3 linked regions of the Cricetulus griseus genome follow. The protein of the gene in region 1 purifies or fractionates together with the protein of each later gene. This does not show direct contact. Links are inferred from orthologs where the notes say so. Each region holds a gene or a part of one and is shown on either strand. Other genes may lie near its edges.

Evidence for each region. The genes of interacting proteins can lie anywhere in the genome.
Region 2: the proteins of Sap30 (region 1) and Mta2 purify together in Homo sapiens (affinity purification with mass spectrometry; 3 studies listed by BioGRID, with this or other methods). This does not show direct contact. The link is inferred for Cricetulus griseus from reciprocal best matches to the Homo sapiens genes SAP30 and MTA2.
Region 3: the proteins of Sap30 (region 1) and Arid4b purify together in Homo sapiens (affinity purification with mass spectrometry; 5 studies listed by BioGRID and IntAct, with this or other methods). This does not show direct contact. The link is inferred for Cricetulus griseus from reciprocal best matches to the Homo sapiens genes SAP30 and ARID4B.

Annotation. Positions count from the first base shown.
Region 1 is NW_023276806.1:235,755,656-235,764,202, reverse strand, and holds the start of Sap30 (histone deacetylase complex subunit SAP30), read left to right. Parts: upstream 1-3,896; 5' UTR 3,897-4,196; coding exon 4,197-4,511; intron 4,512-6,068; coding exon 6,069-6,194; intron 6,195-6,763; coding exon 6,764-6,862; intron 6,863-8,547. UniProt on the Homo sapiens protein: Involved in the functional recruitment of the Sin3-histone deacetylase complex (HDAC) to a specific subset of N-CoR corepressor complexes. Capable of transcription repression by N-CoR.
Region 2 is NC_048596.1:51,146,763-51,154,614, reverse strand, and holds part of Mta2 (metastasis-associated protein MTA2), read left to right. Parts: 5' UTR 1-220; coding exon 221-248; intron 249-521; exon of another isoform or gene 522-574; intron 575-1,738; coding exon 1,739-1,806; intron 1,807-2,243; coding exon 2,244-2,337; intron 2,338-3,801; coding exon 3,802-3,919; intron 3,920-4,047; coding exon 4,048-4,111; intron 4,112-4,192; coding exon 4,193-4,310; intron 4,311-4,709; coding exon 4,710-4,812; intron 4,813-4,952; coding exon 4,953-5,052; intron 5,053-5,159; coding exon 5,160-5,348; intron 5,349-5,434; coding exon 5,435-5,509; intron 5,510-5,627; coding exon 5,628-5,686; intron 5,687-5,957; coding exon 5,958-6,055; intron 6,056-6,186; coding exon 6,187-6,326; intron 6,327-6,724; coding exon 6,725-6,953; intron 6,954-7,371; coding exon 7,372-7,461; intron 7,462-7,852. UniProt on the Homo sapiens protein: May function as a transcriptional coregulator. Acts as a component of the histone deacetylase NuRD complex which participates in the remodeling of chromatin.
Region 3 is NC_048596.1:237,302,868-237,310,745, reverse strand, and holds part of Arid4b (AT-rich interactive domain-containing protein 4B), read right to left. Parts: intron 6,073-7,878; coding exon 5,874-6,072; intron 3,369-5,873; coding exon 2,160-3,368; intron 1-2,159. UniProt on the Homo sapiens protein: Acts as a transcriptional repressor. May function in the assembly and/or enzymatic activity of the Sin3A corepressor complex or in mediating interactions between the complex and other regulatory complexes.

The sequences.
Region 1 (8,547 bases):
TTTATTTATTATATATAACAACATTCTGCTTCCATGTATATCTGTACACCAGCACCAGATCTCATAATGGATGGTTGTGAGCCACCATGTGGTTACTGGGAATTGAACTCAGGACCTCTGGAAGAGCAGTCAGTGCTCTTAACCTCTGAGCCATCTCTCCGTTTTTGTTTGTTTGTTTGTTTTAGATTTATTTATTATGTATACTGTGTTCTGCCTGCATGTCAGCCTGCAGGCCAGAAGAGGGCACCAGATCTCATTACAGATGTTTGAAAGCCACCATGTGGTTGCTGGGAATTGAACTCAGGACCTCTGGAAGAGCAACCAGTGCTCTTAACCTCTGAGCCATCTCTCCAGCCCAAAATGTTTTTTTAAAGTGGGAACCCTCCTTAGCCTCAGAAATACAAATTAAATCTACTTTGAGATTTCATCTTAGCCCTGTCAGAATGGCTTAAGATTAAGAAAACAGCCAGGCGGTGGAGGTCCATGCCTTTAATCCCAGCACTCGGGAGGCAGAGGCAGGAGGATCTCTGTGAGTTAGAGACCAGCCTGGTCTACAAGAGCTAGTTCCAGGACAGCCAAAGTCTCCAAAGCCACAGAGAAACACTGTCTCAAAAAACAAACAAACAATTCAGAAAACAAAAATCACCCGATGCAGAAAAGAATGTGGGGACCTCATGCACTGTTGGGGAGAGTGTAAACTGGTGCAGCCACTGTGGAAATCATTGTGGAGGGTTCTCAAAAAAGTCAGAAATAGACCTATGGTGGAGAACAGTGCAGTTGGAGGAGTAGTGGAGTCTGGAGATGAAATCCGAGGACAGGATCACTCCTTTGGTCTGAGGTAGAAGAGCAAATGGCTGGAATCTTTGCTTCTCTGATCTTCAGACAAACTTTATTAAGTCATAACAAAATGTCACCACAATGAGCCAGATATATCACTCCTGGGCATATACCCCAAGGACTCTGTTCTCTGCCATAGGGACATGTTTACCCATGTTCATTTTGCTTCTAGGACGTGGAAACAGACCAAATATTCATCACCTGATGAGAGAGACGACGAAAATGTTGTGCCTATATATAATGGGATTTTATTCAGCTGTAAAGAAAAATGAACTCAAGAAATTTGCAGGTACAACGATGGAGCTGGAAAGTGTTATCCTGAGTAAAGTAACCCAGACCCAGAAAGACAAATACTGTTAGGTTCTCACTCACATGTGTATCTTAGCATCAGATCTTTAGATCTGTGAATTTAATTTGGGGTCCTGAGGATTTTAACTTACATTTGCTTTCTTTTTAAATTAATACTGTTTTGTGATAGTTAGCCACAAATAATTTCAGAGCCAGAGCAAATTCCAGCATTAGGTGGCTTCATATCGGTGGGAACAGAATCATGATAAAAGCCACAGATAGAGCTGAGCAATTTGTTAAACTGTAGGTCAAACTGAAATTCAGGTGCTGCTTTAATGTATGCAGTACTGGCCCAGTATGGTATAGCAATTACTTCTCTGTTGTGATGAACACCGTGACCAAAAGCAACTGGCATGTTACCATCTATCATCAAGGGAAGCCAAGACAAAAACTGAAGCAGAGACCACAGAAAAGTACTGCTTATGGGCTTGCCTCCCCTAGCATCCTCAACTACCTTTCTTTTTCAAGACAGGGTTCCTCTGAGTAACAGTCCAGACTGTCCTGAAACAGTCCAGGACTAGAACTCACAGAGATCCTGTCTCTGCCTCTCACGAGCTGGGATTAAAGACATGCGCTGCCACTTTGGCTTTGGCTTCAGCTGTCTTTCTACACAGCCCAGGCCCACTTCCACATGGATGGTACCACCCACGGTAACCTGGGCCCTCCCACATCAAACAACAACCAAGAAAATGCCCCACAGAAATGCCCATAGACCAATCCGATGGAGGTGATTCCTCACCCAAGAGTCCTTCTTTCTGGGTGCGTCTATGACTGTCAGTGTCAGGCTGAATAATCTTAGCACCAACACTTAAGAATTTAGGAAGAGCAAAGCTGAGCATGTCATTTGTTAGTCAGAGGGTTGGGCTTCAGTCTGCATTAAGGGTAGTAACTGTAGAAGGTCTTTCTTGGGCTGGGGCTGGAGTTTAGTTGTGGGTTCACTTAGCATCCACAAAACTCTGGGTTCAGTTCTAGGCACTACAATAAAAAGTAACTCACTCACCATAGGGCAAGAACCACAGCGGGAGTATGAACTAGAGTATCATCTACTTGTCTGTAAACAGAGTCTCCAGGCATTAATTAGTTAAGTAGACTTTTAGCACCAGAGAGGAGATGAAGCTACTCTGTAGGAGAATAATTCAAATTATTTTATAATTATTTCTATCAAATAAAATGAAAAATCAATCAAAGGCAATGAACTGAAGAAGAGTCGGGTGTGAGCATCTTCATCAGAAACAATAGACAAGTGAAACAAGACTTACTAAACATAGCCTAACAATCACTGTCCTTGCTAGGTTTACTGAGAAAAAAATCAAACTTCTAAATTTTGTCAGTGGATTGGAAAATTGGTGACATTTAAGATCTGGGGGAAAAAACATAGGAATTATAAGACTAAGAAGTGTAACAAAACCCAAAAAACTATGGGTGAATTTTAGAGCAGAGTGGGCACACCTAAATAGAGAATGTATGACTAAGTGTAGGTTAAAAGAATCCAATGGAAATTTAAAACAAAACATAGCCACTGAAGATAAGGTAGGAAACACAAAGAGTACAGTAGGAGGCCTAACATATACTGAATTGGAGTCCCAGAGATGGAAGAAATGGCATGGGAAGGCATGAGAGCCTAGAATTTTCTAGTATTTGATTAAATATATTAACTTATAACTTAACAAGTACGAGAGAAAAATGACCATTTTAAATAATAAAAATGTATTCACCAATTTTCACGGCTGTATGAGAGTAGAAATTCACAGATAACACGGGCAGCTTTGAGTTTCTCCGTGAATCTGTCCTAAATCTGTTAGTAAATCGACTAAGTCTAAAACGGCTTTCTTTCAAAACTCCTCTACCTGAAATACATTATTTTCCTTTAATCATTGGGATAGCTAAACAGTCCAATAATTAGCATGACCACGCCCATCCTCCCACCCCTCCCACCGCAGGCTCAGGCAGGAATACACGCCTACGCGAGCACAAACACGTACCCAGGCGCGCTCCCGCGCTCCCGCACCCACCCACCCGCGACACATACAAGCATACATGTACGCATGTGTATGACTCAAGAAACGAGGTTTTTCTCTCCTCGTCCCCTACGGCCAGCGCTGCCAAGTTTCCGAGCAGTCCTGCAGACCTGGTGGCAGTGGGGATCCTTTAAAGGTTCTTAAACCCCTCCCCTCTCGGATCCGTTTGCGCGGAAGTCCAGGGCAGCAGAGGCAAGCAGCAGTCCGGCGCCTGTCAACCGGTTGGCACACGGGAAGTACACTGCGGCGTGGAGATGGAGATGCAGGACCCAGCGCCTAACGAATGCCAGATCGCCCGAGTGTTTTCCATAAAGAAGAAACAGCCCACAAACTTTTTCTCACTTATTCCCTAGTACCCCACCGCATACACGCACTGTTTATGTTTCTTCCCAGGAGTCGGCTGGCCGTCTGAACACTAACTTTACGAAATAACAGGAGCTAAAAACAGCCCTTGCTCGTAGGAGATAAAAGAGGCGAGAAAATACAGTAAAGCCTGACCTCATACTCGGATTTGCCCGGTGCTTGGAATGGAAAAAAGAAAAAAACCTCACGGGTGGCTGGCCGCGCGGTGTATGCTGGGATTAGTAGTTCGTCCAGCACGTAATCAGAACGGAGCGCAAGTGGGCTCCGCGACCGAGAACTACTATTCCCGTGGGGCCGCGCGGCGGTGGAGGGGCGGGGCCGGAGGAGGGGCGTCTCACTCGCGCAGGTCCCGGGGCTGGAAGGAGGCGGTGGAGCCGCGGTCCAACTGCTGAAGTCTCCATGTGACAGTGAGTGGGGTCCCCTTTTTAGGAGCCACTCCACTCCCGATCACAGTCCCAGGAACCCGCCGCTATTCCAGCGCCCACAGACCGACAGGCCCGGGACTCTGGGCGTCGGACCGTGCCGCCGCCACACTTGGGGTGCGGAGTGAACGGCCGCCCCGGGGAAGGAGGCGGAGCGGCGCGGCGAGCGGGGCTCTGTGGCGGCGCCGGCGCCCCCGAGCTGGCAGACATGAACGGCTTCACTCCGGAGGAGATGAGCCGCAGCGGGGACGCGGCCGCAGCCGTGGCCGCGGTGGTCGCTGCTGCAGCTGCCGCCGCTTCGGCGGGGAACGGGAACGCGGCTGGCGGTGGGGCAGAGGTACCCGGTGCTGGTGCGGTATCGGCTGCTGGTCCCCCCGGAGCAGCCGGTCCGGGCCTCGGGCAACTCTGTTGTCTGCGGGAGGACGGCGAGCGGTGCGGGCGCGCGGCTGGCAACGCCAGCTTCAGCAAGAGGATCCAGAAGAGCATCTCGCAGAAGAAGGTGAAGATCGAGCTGGACAAGAGTGTAAGTGGCAGTGGGACCGCCCTGCCCAGCCCTTGCCCTACCCTGCTTGCCCAGCCCGGTCCTTGGCGGAGGCTCACGAGTCGTCGGGACCGGGCTGCAGGTGGGATTAGTGGGTTCTCCGACTGAAACAAAGTCGCTGCAACTCTGGCCACCTCCCCCGGCGCGCCCTGGCGCAGTGGTGCAGGTCCCCTCCGCCCCTACCCCGACTCCGGCCGCCTCGCGTCTCTCCCACTCCAGGCTTCCCTCTTCCTCCTTTGCTGCGATCTGGAAACGAAACAAAGGGAACCAACCGCGTTACCGAGAGCCCAGAGTAGTTTTCTTGTAGCCGGGCAGCCCCTTCTCTGGAATGGAGGCGCCTTTGTTTTGCTGCCCGAGCCAGCGTCTGACCCCAGGGAGTAGCTCCGCTCCTTTAGGGAAAGTCGAGTCTGGCAGGAACCCACGTCGCAGAGAAGGGAAATCTCCCCCCTGCATTCCCCTCGATATTGTTTCTCTTGAACACGCAGAGGGAAGCCGAACTCACCAGTGCCTTACTGGGAGGTGGTTGTAAACGGTGTTTGCGGTGTCAGCTCTTCGTGCAGCTGCTCCGAACCGAGGCTGCAAATAATCCTCAGTGGTTTTACAGCCCACTTGGCAGCCATCGGGATTTTTTTTCCCGTCTTTATGCACGTTTGCTCTTTGGGCCAGCTATGAGGTTTCAGAGAGATCCTTTGCTACTTTCCAGAGCTCTGGCTGGTGGCAAATGAAGAAGAGGATACAGAGCCTCCACACATCTGTATATTTTTTAACTTGCTCTTAGCTTAGTAGTCAATTTAAAAGGCCCTTAATTGTGTAGCCTTAAAGGGGGGAGGGGGAGACTGTCAATCAGCTCAGTATTTCCAATCGCTCATTATGTAACTCTCAAATGCCTGTGTAATTGTTTGAAAAGTTTGTGTTTCTGTTTAAGCCGTTTTTCAGTAGGACCCATGAGAAATGTTGCAAGTGAATGTGAATAATTTCTGTGTTCTTTAATTGAAAGCAACACAGTACAGATAAATACATTCATTTAATTCTTACAAAGAAATGTTAGTACTTGAAATTTAAACATAGGATATGAATTCAATAGCGCATTTGTAAAAATGCCTAGTTAGTATCTGTGTGGAATTTGACTAATTAGTAAGATTAGGAAGCATATACCTAACATTAGGAGCATTAATATGATTTGCTGCTCTCAGATTAGAGAAAATTATCACCTCTTCCCTTGTACCTTCAAAATCAACGGGAGCTAATTTATTTAGGTCATCCTCAATGCAATTTGATGACAAACCCCAGAGGGTTGGAATTTCTCTTCCTCTGTCTGCCTGCCTTCTCCCATGGTACCACTCTCCTTCCCCTCCCCTCTCCCACAAACAGTATTGCCAGACTGCTAATGTTAGAGTCAGGTAACCGGTTTGGAAAGGAACGTTACATTGTCTTAACAGTGGCCCGCTTAGACTGTTCAGTCATTCATCTGGGCCTATGTGTTTTACTAACACAGAGATGCATTGTTCTGTATTCACTGTCTATGAAACTTTGTTTCAGGCAAGACATCTTTATATTTGTGATTATCATAAAAACTTAATTCAGAGTGTTCGAAACAGAAGAAAGAGGAAAGGGAGTGATGATGATGGAGGAGACTCACCTGTTCAGGACATCGATACTCCAGAGGTAGAGCAAAGTTTTATTATGTTAAATGTAAATCATAAGCATGCTGGCAATTCCAAAGCCTTTATGTAAATATTTGAATTAAGTTTTAAATGTTTAAAGCATCTGACAAATCTCAAAATTAAATACAATCAGTTAACATGTATTTATACTAGCCGGGTGGTTGGGTGGTGGTGGTGGTGGTGCAGGTGCATGCCTTTAAACCCAGCATTCGGGAGGCAGAGGCAGGCGAATCTCTGTGAGTTCCAGGCCAGCCTGGTCTACAAAGCTACACAGAGAAACCCTGTCTCGAAAAACCAAAAATAAATAAGTAAATAGAATAAAACATGCATTTATACTACTATTAAATCTCAGGTGACAGTTCTTGTAGCCCTTGACCTATAACTTCCTTTTTTTTTTTCCTCTAAAAGCTTACACTATGTATCCCCAAAAGGTGAAACTAATAAACTCTAGATCTGACTGTGGAAAAGAAATTGTTCTTGTGCTGAAGTGGACATTGCCCTTTGCTTTACAGATCAGTGATATCTTTTCAGCAGAGTGAACTATGTTACATCTTAATTTTTTTTTTCTAGGTTGATTTGTACCAATTACAAGTAAATACACTTAGAAGATACAAAAGACACTTCAAGCTTCCAACCAGACCAGGCCTTAATAAAGCACAACTTGTTGAGGTATGTATAATTTTTATACGGTATAAACAAACCTGTTCACACCAACAAGGGTTGTGATTAAATGATGATGAAATAGGTAAATGTCTAATGTCTAAGAAAGTCAGAGTTAATGGGTCTATCATGGTGTGCATATAGTGGTTTAGAAACAACTGTCTGTCACCTAGAAAATCCACTTACAGCATTTTTTAATAGGGATTTCTCAGAGTAAGTATTTAGTGAGTTTTTAATCACTTCAGAAATCTGTTTTAGGTTTCTAATTATTCAATGTCTGTTTATTGAACACCTAATTGAGGCATAACAAATAAATAAGCTTACAAGCATTTATCAGAATTTAGTTTTCAAAGCTTCTCTGGGATAGGCCTACAGATGAACCCTGAAGCAGTACTTCCTAACTTTCTAGTTTTACTTTCAGGTTGTCTTTGTTAGTAGTTGTTGTTTTTAAGTAGAAGATGCTTTCTTTACATCGAGAGAGAGCAAAGATTTTATCCAAGCTTTTACTTAAAGTTTATTTTGTATAGGACTTTGGTTCCTTCAGAGTGCTTTGGAAATTAGCTGTGTGTGTGTGTGTGTGTGTGTGTGTGTGTGTGTGTGTGTGTTTTCAAGAAGTAATAGAGCCACAAAATCTGTGCACTTTAAAGTATTTACAGATTTAAATAATTAGACTTTATATGTAAAATAAACTTTTCCACTAAATAGACAGGACAGAAATCTCTCTCTCTCTCTCTGTGTGTGTGTGTGTGTGTGTGTGTGTGTGTGTGTGTGTGTTTACATGAGTTTTCTCATATTCTTGGGTTTGACTTGAGTAGTTAGCCTACATTTCTAATGTGCATATTAAATAAAAGATAAATACAAGTTGCAATTCTTTGTAGAAAGTTCTTTTACATTATTAAAATTCAATATGCTAACTAGCCAAATTTTCTCCTCTATTTTTTGCCTAGACAAAAATATAATTTTTCTTCAAATTTTATTTAAAGATCTAGTCCTTTTACCATGGCACAGTACATAAACATAAAGATGTTCCCTACTATGATGAAATATACTAGACATTAATGAAGTATGGTCGCCCCTGTTTTGTAACAGAGAGGAGCCAAGAACTGATGCAAACGTTGTATGATATAACATCATATAGTTTATAACTCAAATCTCAACTTTAAAGTCTGGTCTTCTAAAAACAGTTGAATTAGTACAGAGTTATTTTCTGTTCTAGAAAAACAGGCCATCTTCTGGAATCGGAGTGCACACATTAGCAGCTCAGTTTCTTATTCGTGTTGGTAGCTCAGTGTGCATGTTTGGTTTGTGCTGTGAAAAGACAGGGAAGCAGTCTTCTTGAGCGTCTTTCTAGCTCCTTTAATTTTCTTAAATCTTACTCAGAAAATTTTGCTGAAACTTAGGGAGAATGAATATCAATTGCACCAAAATTGTATATGATATCATAGTTTGTTACCAAGGGTTTTTGTTGTTTTGTTTACATTAATCTTTTCCTGTGAATGCAGTCGACATGCACGTTGGCTCTTTTGTTTTATGTCATTGATATTTAATGTTTAAGAATATGTACTTTATAAGTTGTTAAGTTTAAAGGGAAAAATACTTATAACCAGTGGACCAAAGCAAGTAAAATACTTAGAATTAGAGCATATGAATTGAGTAGACTAAAGGGTCCTTTGAAATCAGACTGTCCTTTGTTG
Region 2 (7,852 bases), on another chromosome or scaffold:
GGGTATCCCGGGCGTGAGGCTATAGCAGTGTCGTCGTGGTCTTCGTGCGAGCAGTGATGAACCGCGACGGCTGAGCGAGCAGAGGTGCCGGCTGCGCGGGCCCCATCGACACTTCCGCGAAGCGTCAGCCCCACGCTGGGGGCATCGTCTGGAGCTAAGCTTTACCCCCGCGAGCCTCCGGGTCCTCTTTGTGCGGCCGGAGGCCGCGGCGGGAACGGCCATGGCGGCTAACATGTACCGTGTGGGAGGTGAGTACACCGGGCGGAAGAGGTTGGGGACGGGACCAGGGAGACTCGGTGTCCGCAGGCGCGGGGAGCAACATCTGGGGTCGTAGGGGCCACAGCGCCGACCGGAACCGGAACCGAGACCTATGGTTCCGCGGCGGCGACGCTACTGGGAGCCGAGTCTCCCGCAGAGGCTTACCTACAACGATCGGTGCTCTTGAGTCTGCGACTGGATCCCGGGGTGGGAAGTAGGCTTGGTTTGGAAGGGGACTGAGTGACTGCGGGGCCAGCTGCGGGGAGCCAGTCGCTCAGGGGTTTTCTTTTCTTTGGCGGCTTGTTCGTTCACGAAGGTGAGGCCTGAGGTGGGGGGAACAATTTACTCAATTCTCCCACGCAGGGGTGCAACTCCAATGCAGAGTTGTGTGGACTACAGGGAAATCCTTGTTATCTTTTTCCCCCTCCTCTCTCACTTCTTGGTTTTTCGACTCTGTCTGTCTGTCTCTTTGGTTTTTCGAGACAGGGATTCTCTGTAGCTCTGGCAGTCCTGGAACGCACTCTGTAGACCAGGCTGGCTTCGAACTCAGAGATCCTCTTGAGTGCTAGGATCTGACTTTTGAGTGAGAATCTGATTTTAGCGCTAAGTGTTGCAAGGGTGGGAGTAAAAACTTTTCTCCCTCCCCCCCCGCCCCCCCCCCCCGGCTGTCTTAGAACTCAGGAAATAGACCAGGTTGGCATCGGACTCAGATCCACCTGCCTCTGCCTCCCTCTGCTGGGATTAAAGGTGTGAGCAATCACTGTCTGGATAATTCTTTTATTTCTTTTCTCGTTCTTTTTTTTTTTTTTTTCCTCGAGACGGTTGATACTTATTTTCTTTTGTTTTCTCGAGACAGGCTTTCTCTGTCTATCCTTGGCTGTCCTGGAAATTGCTCTATAGACCAGGCTGTCCTCGAACTGGAAGAGATCTGCTTACCTCGGCTTCCTGAGTGCTGTTGGCCACCACTGCCCAACTAATACTTTTCTTTTGCGGGGGTGGGGGGATGGGGGGTGGGGTTCGAGACAGAGTTTCTCTGCGGCTTTGGAGGCTGTCCTGGAACTAACTCTGTAGACCAGGCTGGTCTCAAACTCAACAGGGAACCACCTGCCTCTGCCTCCTGAGTGCTGGGGTTAAATGCATGCGCCACCACCTTCTCTAATACCTATTTTCTTTTCTTTTTTTTTTTTTTTTTTTTGGTTTTTCGAGACAGGTTTTTCTCTGTGTAGCTTTGGAGCCTATCCTGGAACTCGCTTTTGTAGACCAGGCTGGTCTCGAACTCACAGAGATCCACCTGCTTCTGCTGGGATTAAAGGCGTGCATCACCAACACCCAGCTATACTTCTTTTCTTAAGTCTTTCCTCTTGCACATCTCCACATCTCTACCTAGCATTTTGTCTTTTTTTGGTCCACCCAAATCCACTTTCTCTTCTGGGTGCTCTGGTTTTCTTCTGATCTTGTTTCTCCCCACCCCCTTCTACAGATTACGTCTATTTTGAGAACTCCTCTAGCAATCCTTACCTGGTTAGACGGATTGAGGAGCTAAACAAGGTGAGTGGAGCAGAAATGGAGCAGTTTCTTTCTTCTGGAGTCTAACTCCAAGTGGAAGGGAGAGCCAGCCTTACCTAGGCTTAGAGCCTATACAGGTGAGCGAGCGTTCATTCCATGTATAGAGCTGCTGAGAGCTTAGCTGAAGCTTTATCATTCTCACATCTGGGGATAAAAGAATCCTGTCTCTGTTGTTTTTTTTTTGTTTTTTTAAATATACAGTGTCTATTTTGCAGCCTTGGTTGCCTGGAACTTTCTGTGTGATCAGGTTAGCAAACTTATGGAGACCCATCTCATTGGTCCTGTAATTATCTTTGAATATTAAGTCTTCATTGCTGAGTTTTTGGCCTCTTCTACTTAAGTCCTTAGAGAGTGCCTGTTAGTGTACCTCCACTTTCAAATGGCTAATTTTCATTGCCCTGTTTTTCTTCCTTCTTTAGACTGCCAATGGCAATGTGGAAGCAAAGGTTGTCTGTCTCTTCAGGAGAAGGGATATTTCTAGTAGCCTCAACAGCCTGGCTGACAGTAATGCTAGTGAGTGTCTTCATTCCTTCCCCTTTCCCCCCTCCCCAGGATCTGAGGACTAGACTTGTTCCTGCAGGTGTTTCCCCTGGTAACACGCCCAAGGCAGGGTATGAGTTTGGAGGTGGGAAGTGCCTGGTCTGCAGAGCAAGGCCTGTTGTTACATGTTGGGGCTGGGGCTGGAAGCCGGGTGGGGAGACCATGATCAGAAAAGCCAGAATGTGGTGTGTGTGTGTGTGTGTGTGTGTGTGTGTGTGTGTGTGTGTGTGTGTGTGTGTGTGTGTGTGTAAGGAGAGATACTTAGATAGGGAATGAAAAGAGCTTTAGAGAAGGCACGTGGGGACATTTTGGGTACTTTGGGACAGTGGTTAGTGAGCGATGGTCAAGGTGGAGAGGAAGATACTGTTTTGAGAATCCTGCATAGTAATGGGGGAGGCTTATCCTGTCGTCTGGAGGTGAAGCCAAAACATTGACGAAGCTGACGGAAGCTAGAGGGCAGGAAAGCGCTTGAGCTTTCCTGTTTCCCTCTCTATTCCAGTTATCATCTGCCTTACTTCATCTTCTCATTTTTCCCATTTAACTACTTTGCCTCTTTTTTTCCCTAAAGTTTTCTTTTTTCAGGCCACAGCCATGAAAGAGTTAATGAGCTGGGCCTACCAAGTTTCCTGGCCCTTTGGGGTTTCTAGCCCCATCTGGCAGGGGCTGACCTTGGCTTTGTCCAATCAGAATGGGTAGGGGGTGTGGTCCTCCTTGCCCTCCCCTGGGTTTTCTAGAGCACACCAGGGAGAGGTGGAGCCTACTACACAGACACAGGACCTCCCCCACCTCCCCACTTGCTGTGGTACACCCAGTTCTTCAGGGGAACAATGCACCAATGAACAAGTGCTTAAGTTTCTATCCCGCCCACTTTGTTTGGCACTTAGCCAGGTTAACTGTTTCCACCAAGATTTCAGTGCAAGCTGCTGCCTCTTGAGGAAGGTGTTGGCTCTGGTTTGAGAGGTGCTTTTCTTGAAAGCCCCACAGACTATTATTAACCAAGTAGAAAGAGAAGGAGAAGTCAGTTGCATGTGATATTCAGGTACAGCAAAGAGTCCTGAAGCATGAAGAGGAGCTGATAAATAAATCCTGTGTGCTGTTCTTACATCTTAGCTGGATTCTAGGACGTCAGGCTGGTTCAGCAAGAAAGAGCTAAATGTAACATACAGTATTGTGGCTATATTTGTGTGTTAGAGCGGCATCAGCATTGGCAACTAGGTTTGGGGCGCATTTCTATGGCATCCTTATGCAGGTCTCCCCTTCATGGAATTAAAGAGAGGACTGAGCATCCACAGTGAGGCGTGAGGCCAAAAGGGAAAGCTGGGCGAGTGAGGGTGAGATGCCCGAGGGAACTGAGACAGCAGCTGAGGTAGGGTGTTCTTTAGCTGAGCTAGTTAGCCACCTCGGAGTACCTTGTTTCTGACTTGTTCCTTCCTCTAGGGGAGTTTGAGGAGGAATCAAAGCAGCCGGGGGTCTCAGAGCAGCAGAGACATCAACTGAAACACCGAGAGCTCTTTCTTTCTCGGCAGTTTGAATCATTACCTGCCACCCACATAAGGTATAGGAGGGTCTGGGTCCCTGTGGCCTTTGTATGTGCCCTTGTTTAGAAATGGAGAGAAGCGGGTGTTGTGTTGGGGATGGTAGAAGGTATGTCTTGCTCATTCAGTACTTTCTGGCCTGTCTTAGGGGGAAGTGCAGTGTAACTCTTTTGAATGAGACAGATATCTTGAACCAGTATCTGGAAAAGGAGGTAAGGACATCCTGAGAGAAGAGGGCTGGGCTTCACTGCCATGTGGGCTCCTGTCCACAACTTCTCTCTCTCCATTTTTAGGACTGCTTTTTTTACTCACTGGTGTTTGACCCGGTGCAGAAGACACTTCTAGCTGATCAAGGGGAGATCAGAGTTGGTTGCAAATTCCAAGCTGAGATTCCAGATCGCTTGACAGAAGGTAAGCAACAGAGTAGATGTGCTGGAACGTAAATTTCTGTGGATCTCGTGACTTGGGGTTTCTGTACAATCTTAGATTTTCTGTTGTGACCTTGCCAGAATGGGACTTAGGAGCCTGAAAGAGAGGAATGGGCACAGCTGGGAGGGGAATTCGGAGGCTTGATGTGGCTGATGGAAGAAGCAGGTGGATCTGAGTTTGTGGCCAGCCTGGTCTACAGTAAGTTCCAGAATAGCCAAGGCTACACAGAGAAACCATGTCTTGGGGAAAAAACCAACAACAAAGGAAAAAAAAAAAAAGAATCCAAGCAGAGAAGAGGAAGAAGTTATTGTGAGTGACTAAGATTATCAGTTATTTCCCCCTCTCTCCCTCACTGGTGATGCTGTCTGCTTGGTTCCTCAGGTGAATCAGATAATCGAAACCAACAGAAGATGGAGATGAAAGTCTGGGACCCAGACAACCCTCTCACAGACCGGCAGATTGACCAGTTTCTAGTGGTGGCCCGGTGAGGGTGGGTGGATCCCGAAGATGGGCTGGGGAGGAGTGAGCCCTGTTCTGAGGCCCATCTGTTTTTTTTTTTCTCTTTAGTTCCTGAGGCTGCTTGAACTTTTTTCTTCCCTTCTTGACTTGTCAATCTCTCCTTAGAGCTGTGGGAACCTTTGCAAGAGCCCTAGACTGCAGCAGCTCCATTCGGCAGCCGAGCTTGCACATGAGTGCAGCTGCTGCATCCCGGGATATCACCCTGGTAAGCACAAGTTGTTGGGCATATCGGGGCAGGAGAGGAGGGAGTCATGGAGACAGTAGGTATACTCAAAGAGCAGCAAGTCATCAGTTTTCTTTTCTATTTGGTAGTTCCATGCCATGGACACATTGCAAAAGAATGGCTATGACTTGGCCAAGGCCATGTCAACCCTGGTGCCACAGGGGGGCCCAGTGCTGTGTCGAGATGAGATGGAGGAGTGGTCCGCTTCTGAAGCCATGCTATTTGAAGAGGCTCTAGAGAAGTACGGGAAGGATTTCAATGATATCCGCCAGGACTTTGTAAGTGAATAGGACTAGAAGCGGTGAGAACAGGGAGTCAGGACCTAGGGCCAGATGCCATCTCAACCTCTGTTTGCTGTTCTTAGCTACCCTGGAAGTCACTTGCAAGCATAGTCCAGTTTTATTACATGTGGAAAACCACAGATCGGTATATTCAGCAGGTATGGTTTAGGGCCGGGAGGTTGGACAGAGGCCCCCTACTAACCTCTCTGCCTTTTGGTTTGTTTGATTTCATCTGTACTGAGATGGTCTGAATTTCTGTTTTTTTCCTTCTAACAGAAAAGATTGAAAGCTGCTGAAGCAGACAGCAAACTGAAACAGGTCTACATCCCCACCTAGTAAGTGTGGCAGGAAGGGAGAGTGTTTCTCTTCCTCTCCTAGTTTGTTTCTTTCTTAGTGATTGGGGATGAGCAGGAGGCAGAAGCAAATTGTAGAAGCTGTAGTTCAGTGATAAGCATGGGCTTACTGTCGGCAAGGTCCTAGTTTAATTCCCAGCATTCCAGAGAGAGTGATGGGGTAGGGTGCGGTGGGGTGGTAGGAAAGGGAGGGACAGATAGAAGTGAGTTATTTCTTTGACTAGCTTCTATGTTCTCTTGTTTCCTTCATTAGTACTAAGCCAAACCCTAACCAGATCATTTCTGTGGGTTCAAAACCTGGCATGAATGGGGCTGGATTCCAGAAGGGCCTTACTTGTGAGAGCTGCCACAGTGAGTTTCAAAGAGGGACAGGGATGCTGGGGTGGGTGGCCTAGGATGGCCTGTTTCTCTGGCCTAGAAATTTGAGGAGCTCGGGTGGCATGTTTTCTGCTAGCATGTTTCTGTTCTCTATGTTCCTGTAGCTACACAGTCTGCCCAGTGGTATGCCTGGGGCCCACCTAACATGCAGTGTCGTCTTTGTGCTTCCTGCTGGATTTACTGGAAGAAGTATGGGGGACTGAAGACCCCAACCCAGCTTGAAGGAGCAGCTCGGGGCACTACAGTAAGACTTAATCACTTGGTGGGAGCTGGGTGTGGTGGCTGGGGCAGGTGGGTCTCTGTGAGTTTGAGGCCAGTCTGGTATTTATAGTAAGCTCCAGATTAGTCAGGGCTACATAGTAGACACCGTCTCAACCAATAGAAAAGAATCACTGCAAAAAGAGGTAGGGGACGGGGAGAGTGGTAGACATACAGACAGATATGAGCTTTAGGCAAAGGTTAGAAACCTGACTCCTTAATATGGAGACAGTCATATGGACAGAGGCACTTGCTAAGGGTTGAGAAGCCAGGAAAGTTGGGTGGAGTGCTAGTGTAGAGTTCAGGCAGAATAGTTTGCTGTCTTCAGGAAATGGAGGAAAGGAGTGACTTGCCATTTCCCTTTTTCATATGTCATTCCTCCAGGAGCCACACTCAAGAGGTCATTTATCCAGACCTGAAGCCCAAAGTCTCTCACCCTATACAACCAGCGCTAACCGGGCCAAGTTGCTGGCTAAGAACAGGCAAACTTTCTTGCTCCAGACCACAAAGCTGACTCGTCTTGCTAGACGGATGTGCAGAGACCTGTTACAGCCAAGGAGGGCTGCCCGAAGACCCTATGCACCTATCAATGCCAATGCCATCAAGGCAGAGTGTAAGCACTGGAGTGGTAGTAGTGATGAGTACTAAGTTGCTCTGGCTAGAGACTGTTGTTTAATGATAGTAGGCCACAGAGGGTGTTTATTAGATAAGGTTTAACTTTTGGCCCTAGAAGAGGCCGGAGAAGTGAAGTTCCTTCAGAAATTTTGATCTGTCATGTCTGGTGGTTCATGCCTTGGAGGCTGTAGATATAACTACCTAGTTCCTATCAGACTGGTCTAGGTAGTGAGCTCCAGATCAGCCTGGATTACATAGGACCCTGACTCAAGTAGGGTAGGCATTCTAATACATGCCCATAACTCAAGTATTGGAGAAGCAGAGTCTAGGCTGGCCAGGGCTATATATACAGCAAGACCATTTCAAAAAGCCAGAACAAATCTGCAGAATATCCAGAGGCTTTCATCTTTCTCCAGGCTCTATCCGACTTCCTAAGGCTGCCAAGACGCCACTGAAAATTCACCCTCCGGTGCGGCTGCCCTTGGCAACTATCGTCAAAGATCTGGGTATGGGATGGAAACCACACTTGATCCAGGGTGGGTTGAAGGTGGAGAAACAGTTTGGGTGGTGTCAGGCTGCTAGCCGTTTTACTATCCAAGAGCCATTTCTTCCCCTGAGTTTTCCTTTCCCCCTGAGTCCAAACTGTGTGTGTGTGTGTGTATGTATTCTTTTTTTTCCTTTTTGGTGGTGGTGTTTTCGATCAAAACCCAGAACTCATATTCTGGGCAAGTGTTTTACTATTGAGGCCCATTTTTGGCATAGCAGTGACTTTTCATAAGTATTTTATGATCTGGAAACATAATCAAATGTTGTTTTTGAAATATGTGTTAAGTAGCTTGTAGGCCTTTTCCTCCATTACTACTGGTCTGATGACCAAGGGAAATTGCTGGGCCAGGG
Region 3 (7,878 bases), on another chromosome or scaffold:
TTTTTACTGGATATTTTAATTAAAATGAAGTTGTATGATAGGTGCCTAAGAGTTTATTGAGATATGAATTCCCAAAAAAACTAAATACTGCTTTGATTTCGTAAAGCAGATGGCCTCCAGTTTCATACTTTTTTAAAAATAAAATTTAAATTAAAAAAACATGTAAGCTAAAATAAATAAATAAAATTTATTTTCAGTTATATGTGTGAGTATGAGCGTGTGAATGGAGGCCAGAAGATGGGAGTCAAATCCCCTGGAATTGGAGTAACATACAGGAGGTTGTAAACCATATGATGTGGGTGCTGGGAACTGAATTCTGGTCCTCTGCAAAAGTGGTATGCACTCTTAACCACTAAGCTATTACGAAAAGGGGAGAGGTGGGGAGGGGGTTAGAATGATGGCTCAGTGGTTAAGACCACATACCATTCTTGTAGAAGACCTGATTTGATTACCAGCACCCACATCTGGCTGCTCACAACTGCCTTTAACTCCAGCTTCAGAGGATCTGACATCCCTCTGTCCTCTCCAGTCACATGCCCACATATACAAGTACATATAAATAAATAATAAAAATATAAAAAAAAGGAGAAAAATGTGCATGTGTGTAGGTAAGAGGACAACTTTGTCAGTCGATTCACTCTTTCAACCAAGTGGGTTCTAGGGATAAATCTGAGTCATCAGGCTTTACCCAAAGAATTTCTTGCCAGTCCAAGTTCCTTCCATATTTCCACCCCCCCCCCCACAAGACAGGGTTTCTCTATGTAGCACAGGCTGTCCTGGAAGTTGTTCTGTGCACCATCCTAGCCTCGAAACTGAGATCTGCCTGCCTCTGCCCTCCTGAGTGCTGGGATTAAAAGTGTGCACCACCACCCGGCTCCATACTTTTAATCTAATCAAGTTTAATATTCAAAAGGGCAGCACTGACTGAATCTAGAGAATATATCAAACTCTTTCTGGTTGATTTTATATTTTTCTTAGGAGATGAAGACCATGAAGAGGATATAATCTCTCAAGAGCTGAAATTCTAATACAACACTGTTGAAGGCCTGGCATTCTTTCCCTTTGAAGATCCCTTTCTTCATGAATATAACTCCATGGAGCAGTATCACGGTATAGCTAGAATTGTAAATCCCCAATAACTACTATTAGTGATTTACTGGGTATCTTTTAGTTATTTGAGAAAGGCTATCCCTATGCAACACCCCTAGCCAGGAACTCACTCTGCAGCTCAGGTTGACCTTGGAATACTACAGCCTCATCCCTCAGACTCCCAAGTGCTGGGATTACAACATGGATAGGTTACCGTATCTCTTTATGGTCAACTAAGACCCTCTAACTACTTCACTACTCTCTTGCTACTCAAAACACATGCCCTCCAGTGCTCTATTTTTACACTAGGTATGTACATACAAAACCAAGTTCTGGCTTTAACTGATTTAAGGCACCTGATCAAAGCAGTTTATAAAAAAAATAACGGCAGAATACAACTATGGTGCTATGAGGAGACATTAATACGTTGACAAAGCACTGATTTGATTTTCCACTCTGAACAACTTCTAGGAAAATCAAGAATATTAATGTAGAGTATTGTTAACATACACATTGGTCCTTCAATTTGGAAGCTATACATCTAATAAAGCATCAAATTCCTTTACAAACTCACACAAGTAAGTCAGGCTTGCAAATCAGTTTGACACGGTTGTCTGAGGGAAGCAGTGCCTGGACAGTTGGTTGCTCCAAACCCCTATTTACAGTATTTGGTTAAGGGTGGAGGGGTCTGTCAACAAATCAAAATGTTTGTGAGAGACTGCACGTTATAACTGTAAACACAGTGTTATAGAAATACAGTTAAGTGGCTCATATATATAGTCAACCAACATATAGAATGAATTTCATTATCTTTAGCTCTGGGCCTACATGCAAGTTGTAGCATGTGGTCTCAAATCCACTTGAAATGTTATTGATGGTTCAGGAAAAGGACATTAAAGGCTCTCAAATGCATTCCATTATCATTATTTAAATTACCTTCCTACTGTCCATTTTCACTGTGTTCATACAAGCACATCACTTAACCGCCTCACATTAAAAGACACAGTGCAACTACCAAGGCATTTAGGGGGACATCCTACAAGTGGTCAGCATGTACTTTTCAACCTCACCTTTTTCTGGGTGTTCTGGTTCTGGTTGATTGCTACTGCTGGAGCTCACACTTGCATCGAAGCCTGCTGGTGAGCTATTTCCCTCTGACTGGAGGTCCTGGAGCTCCCCCACAACACTGTCCACCTCAATTGTGCTGTCAGTTTCACTCTTGATACTTCGAACCTCCTCCTGGTTTGGAGCCAGGGGCTCTGACACTGTGACAGAAGACTGCTGCTGACTAGCTTCTGTCACAGTGACTGATGAAGGCGACTCCGGTGTAGTAGGCGGGGTATTAAGTACAGAATTACTGCCACTGCTCGGAAATTCTGTTTTTCTGTCACTAACCTCTAGAGGTTTTTCTTCAACTGATTTATTGTCCACACTGGCTGGCAGTGGCTTCTCTAGCTCTACAATGGGTGAACAACTCTCCTCTTCCGTCACAGTCTGCAGTGACTCCTCTACTGCCCCCTCATCTGGGGCAGGATGGGGTGGAGAAGCTGCAGCCTCAGTGTCAGAGTCAGAGAAAAGCTCTTTTAGTGTCTTCTTAGGCCACTGTCCCTGAATACTTGACCAGACGTCTTTTCTATCTTTAGCCCTGCTATTCTGAAGTCTTTCATCAGAGTTATTTAGAAGTTTTATCCTTTTTTCTGCTACTTCTGAAAATCCTGAATAGAAACTAGTTGTCCGTAGGGATTTTCTCTTTTCCTCCAAGCCATTATATTTCTTGGTTGGTGTCATCTTTGCTTTGGACTTTTCTTCTTCATCTTCATCTGAGGAGCTATTACTACTGTTTTCTGTGCAAAGCAGCTCTTTGCTCTTGGTTCTGTCTTCCTTCTTTCCAGGGGATCCAGTCTGCAAGCATTCTTCTGTATTACAATATCTTCTTTTTCCTCGTTTTGTTTGTGGCTTTAAAGATTTATCTGTTGTGTCTTTCTTAACATCCTTTCTCTTTTTTGTGATTTCATCATCTTCTTCAAAATCAGTATCTTCTGATAATCCTTCCACATCTTTTCTTAATCGTTCTGGAGATTTTGTTTTAGCTATTACCAAATCTGTGTGGACTTTGTTTTCTTCTAGCAAAGATGGACTACTCTGTTCCTCTTTTGAAATAAGCTCGTTTCTGGTGTGGGTCAAATGGTCTACCTTTGATTCGTCTCTGCCACTGTTGTCTACGTCCTGAGCACCCCTCTCGTCTTCCTGCTCACTTTCTTCAGCAGAACTTTCAGAAGCTAAAAAATAAGAGGGTGGGGAGTAATAAGCCTAGTAAGACTATTGTTTATGTCTGCCTCAAACAAACAAAAATGGAAAGAAAAACTTCTATCCTAGATGCTAGGATTTAAATGTCTTCTTCAAAACTGAAGCTGAAACTTAACTGACACTATGACAATACTGGCAAAGTGGGAACTTTAAGAAGTGCCTATGTCATGAACAGACTGATGTCCTTTTCACAGTAGTGGATTAGCTATTGCATGACTTACCACTGTTGTGATGCTCTCACCACAGAGGGCTGCTCAATGCCCTCAATGCAAGAAATAAAAATCCTTTTCTTTTTGTGTTCTATCCAGGCTGTAGCATTTGGTAAACTAGTGAAAAACAGACTTAAAAAAAAAAAAAACAAAACAAAAACAAAACAAAAAACCTGTAACTAGAACAGAAACTTTTTCAAGTGAATACAACTAGGAAATTTGCCATTTTCTTGTACTTGCTCTTAAAGTACTAGAAAACATTGTCATCAAAATGAGACTATGGAGGGCTGCAGAGATGGTTCAGCAATTAAAAGTATTTGTTGCTTTTGTAAAGGACCTAAGTCCCCCAGCATGCACACGGTGGCTCAAAACCATCTCTAACATCGATTCCAAGGGGTCCAACCAATGTTTTGACCTCTGTAAGTACCAGGTACTTGGTACAAATACATACATGCAGGCAAAACACACACACACACATAAAATAAATCCTTAAAAAATATTTTTACTGAGTATTCAGGACAAGGAAATCCTCAATTTAACAACAACAACAACAAAAAATCCAAAACCTATATTAGAGAACAGCTCTTGATTCTTTCTATCCAGCCAAGTCAAAAACAACATTTTTCCTCAAGATAATTCTTCCTCAAGATTGCCCTCCCATTCCCAATATTGGGGTGGGGGTAGGAGGACGGAATGCAGGTAGGGGCAAGATAGGGTCTCTCTATGTACTCCTGGCTATCCTGGAACTCACTATGTGCAGTGAAGACCCACTTCCTCTGCCTTCTAGCCAGCTAATCATTCTAGAATGAACCACCTACCTCTCCAAAGAAGGTATTACAACAAATCTTTCTCTAATAAAGCACACTCTGAAATCAGAATATAACCTAGAGAATCTGATCAGACAAGTCTCTGTGTAGCTTCAGCTGGCCAAGAACTCACTCTGTAGACCAGGCTGGCCAGAAACTCTCAAGAGACTGCCTGCCTCTGCCTCCTGAGTACTGGAATTAAAGGTGTGCACTACATTTGGCCCCAACAGCATTAAAGGCAACCTCAACCTAAGCTTTCTCATAAATTGAGGCTTACATTAAATGTTCACTATTGTTTTTAAAATAAACAATATCTTATTTAGGAGTATACTCATAAATAATTAAATCCTACTTTTTAAAAAAATGTTACATAAAGTTAAGGTAGTAATAACTCCTGAGGAGGCACACCTAATTAACTGCTACCTGCTCGTGACTAAAGTTGTCTAATTCTTGTTCTTTAAACTATATTTTTTCATATAGTAGTCTACATGTCAGATACATTAGAAAACTTTTAAGGCAAACTTTAGAATAGTATATAGTAGCAGGCTTATATAATGAATCCATATACAGTCTTCTGAAATAAAGGAGAAAATCTAATTTCTATTATAGTCAAAAGTAATAAAAACCAAAACTTAAGTTATGAGCAGTTTAAAATATTTTTAGGGAAAGGAATTAATTTACTTTGTAGATCAGATCCCTGTTCCAATACATTTTCATGCCAGATTTAATAATCTCCAATTCTCAAAGCTTTTTAGATATAGTTTATTTAGTATTTTATATGGATGAATGTTTAGCCTGGATGTATGTGTGTGTACACACACCAAACGTTTGCCTGATGCCCGTGGAGTTCAGAAGAGGGTGTCAGATCCCCTCCACTCTGGAGCTAGATGGTTAATGAGGTGTCATGTGGGGGCTGGAGATTGAACTCAGGACTATGCCAGAGCAACAAGTGCTTTTAACTACAAAGTCATCTCTCCAGCCCAGTTCTCTGTTACTATTTGCTTCACTATTACCATGTGTGCTACCATAACAGCATCATAAAAAGAACAAACAAGCAGATGAGTTCTTCACAAATAACTTTCAGAATTGCTTTACAGTCTTAATACACAGCACAACTATGTTTTAGACAGCATCACAAAGGACAGTGTTTGACAAGAAGTAGAGAAACCCAACACTGGAGGTGCCCAACTAATAACACACACAGCAAATTCTGGTCAAAAAACCAACCTGAACTACTTTTATAGAATTTAACTTTTGGAATTTTTTCTGGGTGGCAGGAGGTAGGAATACGTGGATTTTTTTGAGACACTCTCTTGATTTATTACTCAGGTTAGCCTCAACTCTCAATCCCCCTGCCTCAGCTCTGAGTACTGGAATTACAGTCATGCACAACCACATTTAAATTCATTTAAATATTTATAGAAATTAAAATCAAATACTTGCATGCAACAGTTATATTTACCTTGTAGTCCATTAAGAATGGAAGTAATTTCTATAGATTTAATATGAGCTGTATCGGAGTTTTTGGCATCAGCAAGGTCTAGTTTTGAAACCATCTCAGGAGATGGATTTGACTGAAACGGTGGTTTTGACAAACGTCGAAGTTTACAGTTCTTTGGAGAGTATTTTTCATCTTTGTCTTTTTCTTTGTCTAATTTATTCTAGGTAAGTAAAGCATTAGATATTAGCTATAATGTATTATGAACAACTTATTAGTAACAATATTCATTCTATTTTAAAGAAACATCAAATGCCTATTATTATTATTAATATTATTAAATGTTTAACTGAGAAAGAATACCAGAAAATGCAAAAAGAAAAACTTCAAAATAATCAGGTTTATTTTAGGTTATTCATGAAAACACTGAGATGAAAAAATTGTTCTGTATTTACAGTCTAGCAGTAGGGATCAAACAGAAAAGATGACTAAGAGTAGGAACTGAGTATTGCTAATAACTGCTACAAATTCTTGAAAATTAAATAATAGATCCAAATTTAATATTTATAAAATTAAACACTCAATTTCAACACTCATATTAAAATTGAACATTCTCACTGTAAAGTACAATAGCCAAGTTCTGTACTTTGAAATTTACAGGAGAAATTACATGCATTGACAGGCTGTGAAGTGAGCTCAGAGGCAGCCTTCCTACCTCACTCAAAGGCTGATACTTTTCTCACGCTCAGTTAACAAACAAATGAGTCAAGGCTAAGGTAATTCCTATAAGCAATGTTTTTTGTTGTTTTGCAATTTAGGCTCTTCACAGTATGACTTAGCAACAAAAATTCTTAAGTCCTATTACATAGACAGACTGAAAACATGAGTGATTATTTTCACAAGTCTCTAAAAGATAGTACATGGGAAAAATACTCCCTTACATGTAACAGTTAAAATTTGGGTAGCGGCTGTTCTCCAAGTGGGGTCCTTAGCCAGCAATTTCTGAGAACTTGCTAGAAAAGCAGACCCCTAAAAACAAGATGAATCAAAATGCTGACAATGGAACCAGACAGCCTGTTTTAATGTGTTCTCCATGTTATCTGGTACATGTTTCAATAATAAGGATCAAGGGACTGGGCCTAACTTATAGAACATCTTTAAAAGGGCAGGTAGACTACCACAGCCTATGTCTACTGTTACTCCCATCATTTCAGCATTTCATGACTTGATCTCAGAAATCACAATGTACCATGTGCACCAAAGGCTGAAACAATTCACTTCAGTCTAAGTTCAAATATATTTTTTAGTGGCTGTCAAATGAGTTTCTCCAACAAGGGCTCTTAAAGAAAACTGGGAGGGAGGGAGGAGGGAGGGAGGGAGGAAGGGAGGGAGGGAGAAGGAAGGAGGGAAGGAGGGAAGGAGAGAAGGAGGGAAGGAGGGAAGGAGGGAGGGAGGGAGGGGCAATACCAAAGAGTAATGCATAATAAAACTTTAAAAAACTTATAGTTCTCAAGCCTCTTTCCTTATGACCAAGAATTTTAACATGTTTAGTTTAGTACCAAGCAGTGGACAGAGACAGACATTCATAGAACATTTCATGTGCATGACCCAAACATTGTTTCTCTGACTCATCTACTCAGCAATGCTATTCCAAAGCTTGCTTTGTACAAAGACATGAATTTTTAACAAACATTTAGCAAATGTTCTTCCAGTTACTAAAAACAATGCTAAATATAGCATAATTTACATACTTTCCAATAAGGACCAACAAAAAATGTAAAGGGTTTAAGAAATCCTGAGCTTTAGGTACTGGAGTACTGTACTAGAAACTTAGACTCAAGTTTACAGTGATAAAAGGATTGCCAACAAGATAAATAAATTCAGCATCTGAGACCACAAGGGGTCTCTAAACAGGAACATAACAATGTTTCATTGGACTAAGAAGACTTCAGAACCACTACTAAGCATGTGAACTACACACAAAGTATAAAAAACCTTCTTAAAAAGATTAAAATTTTGCGGGGCGTTG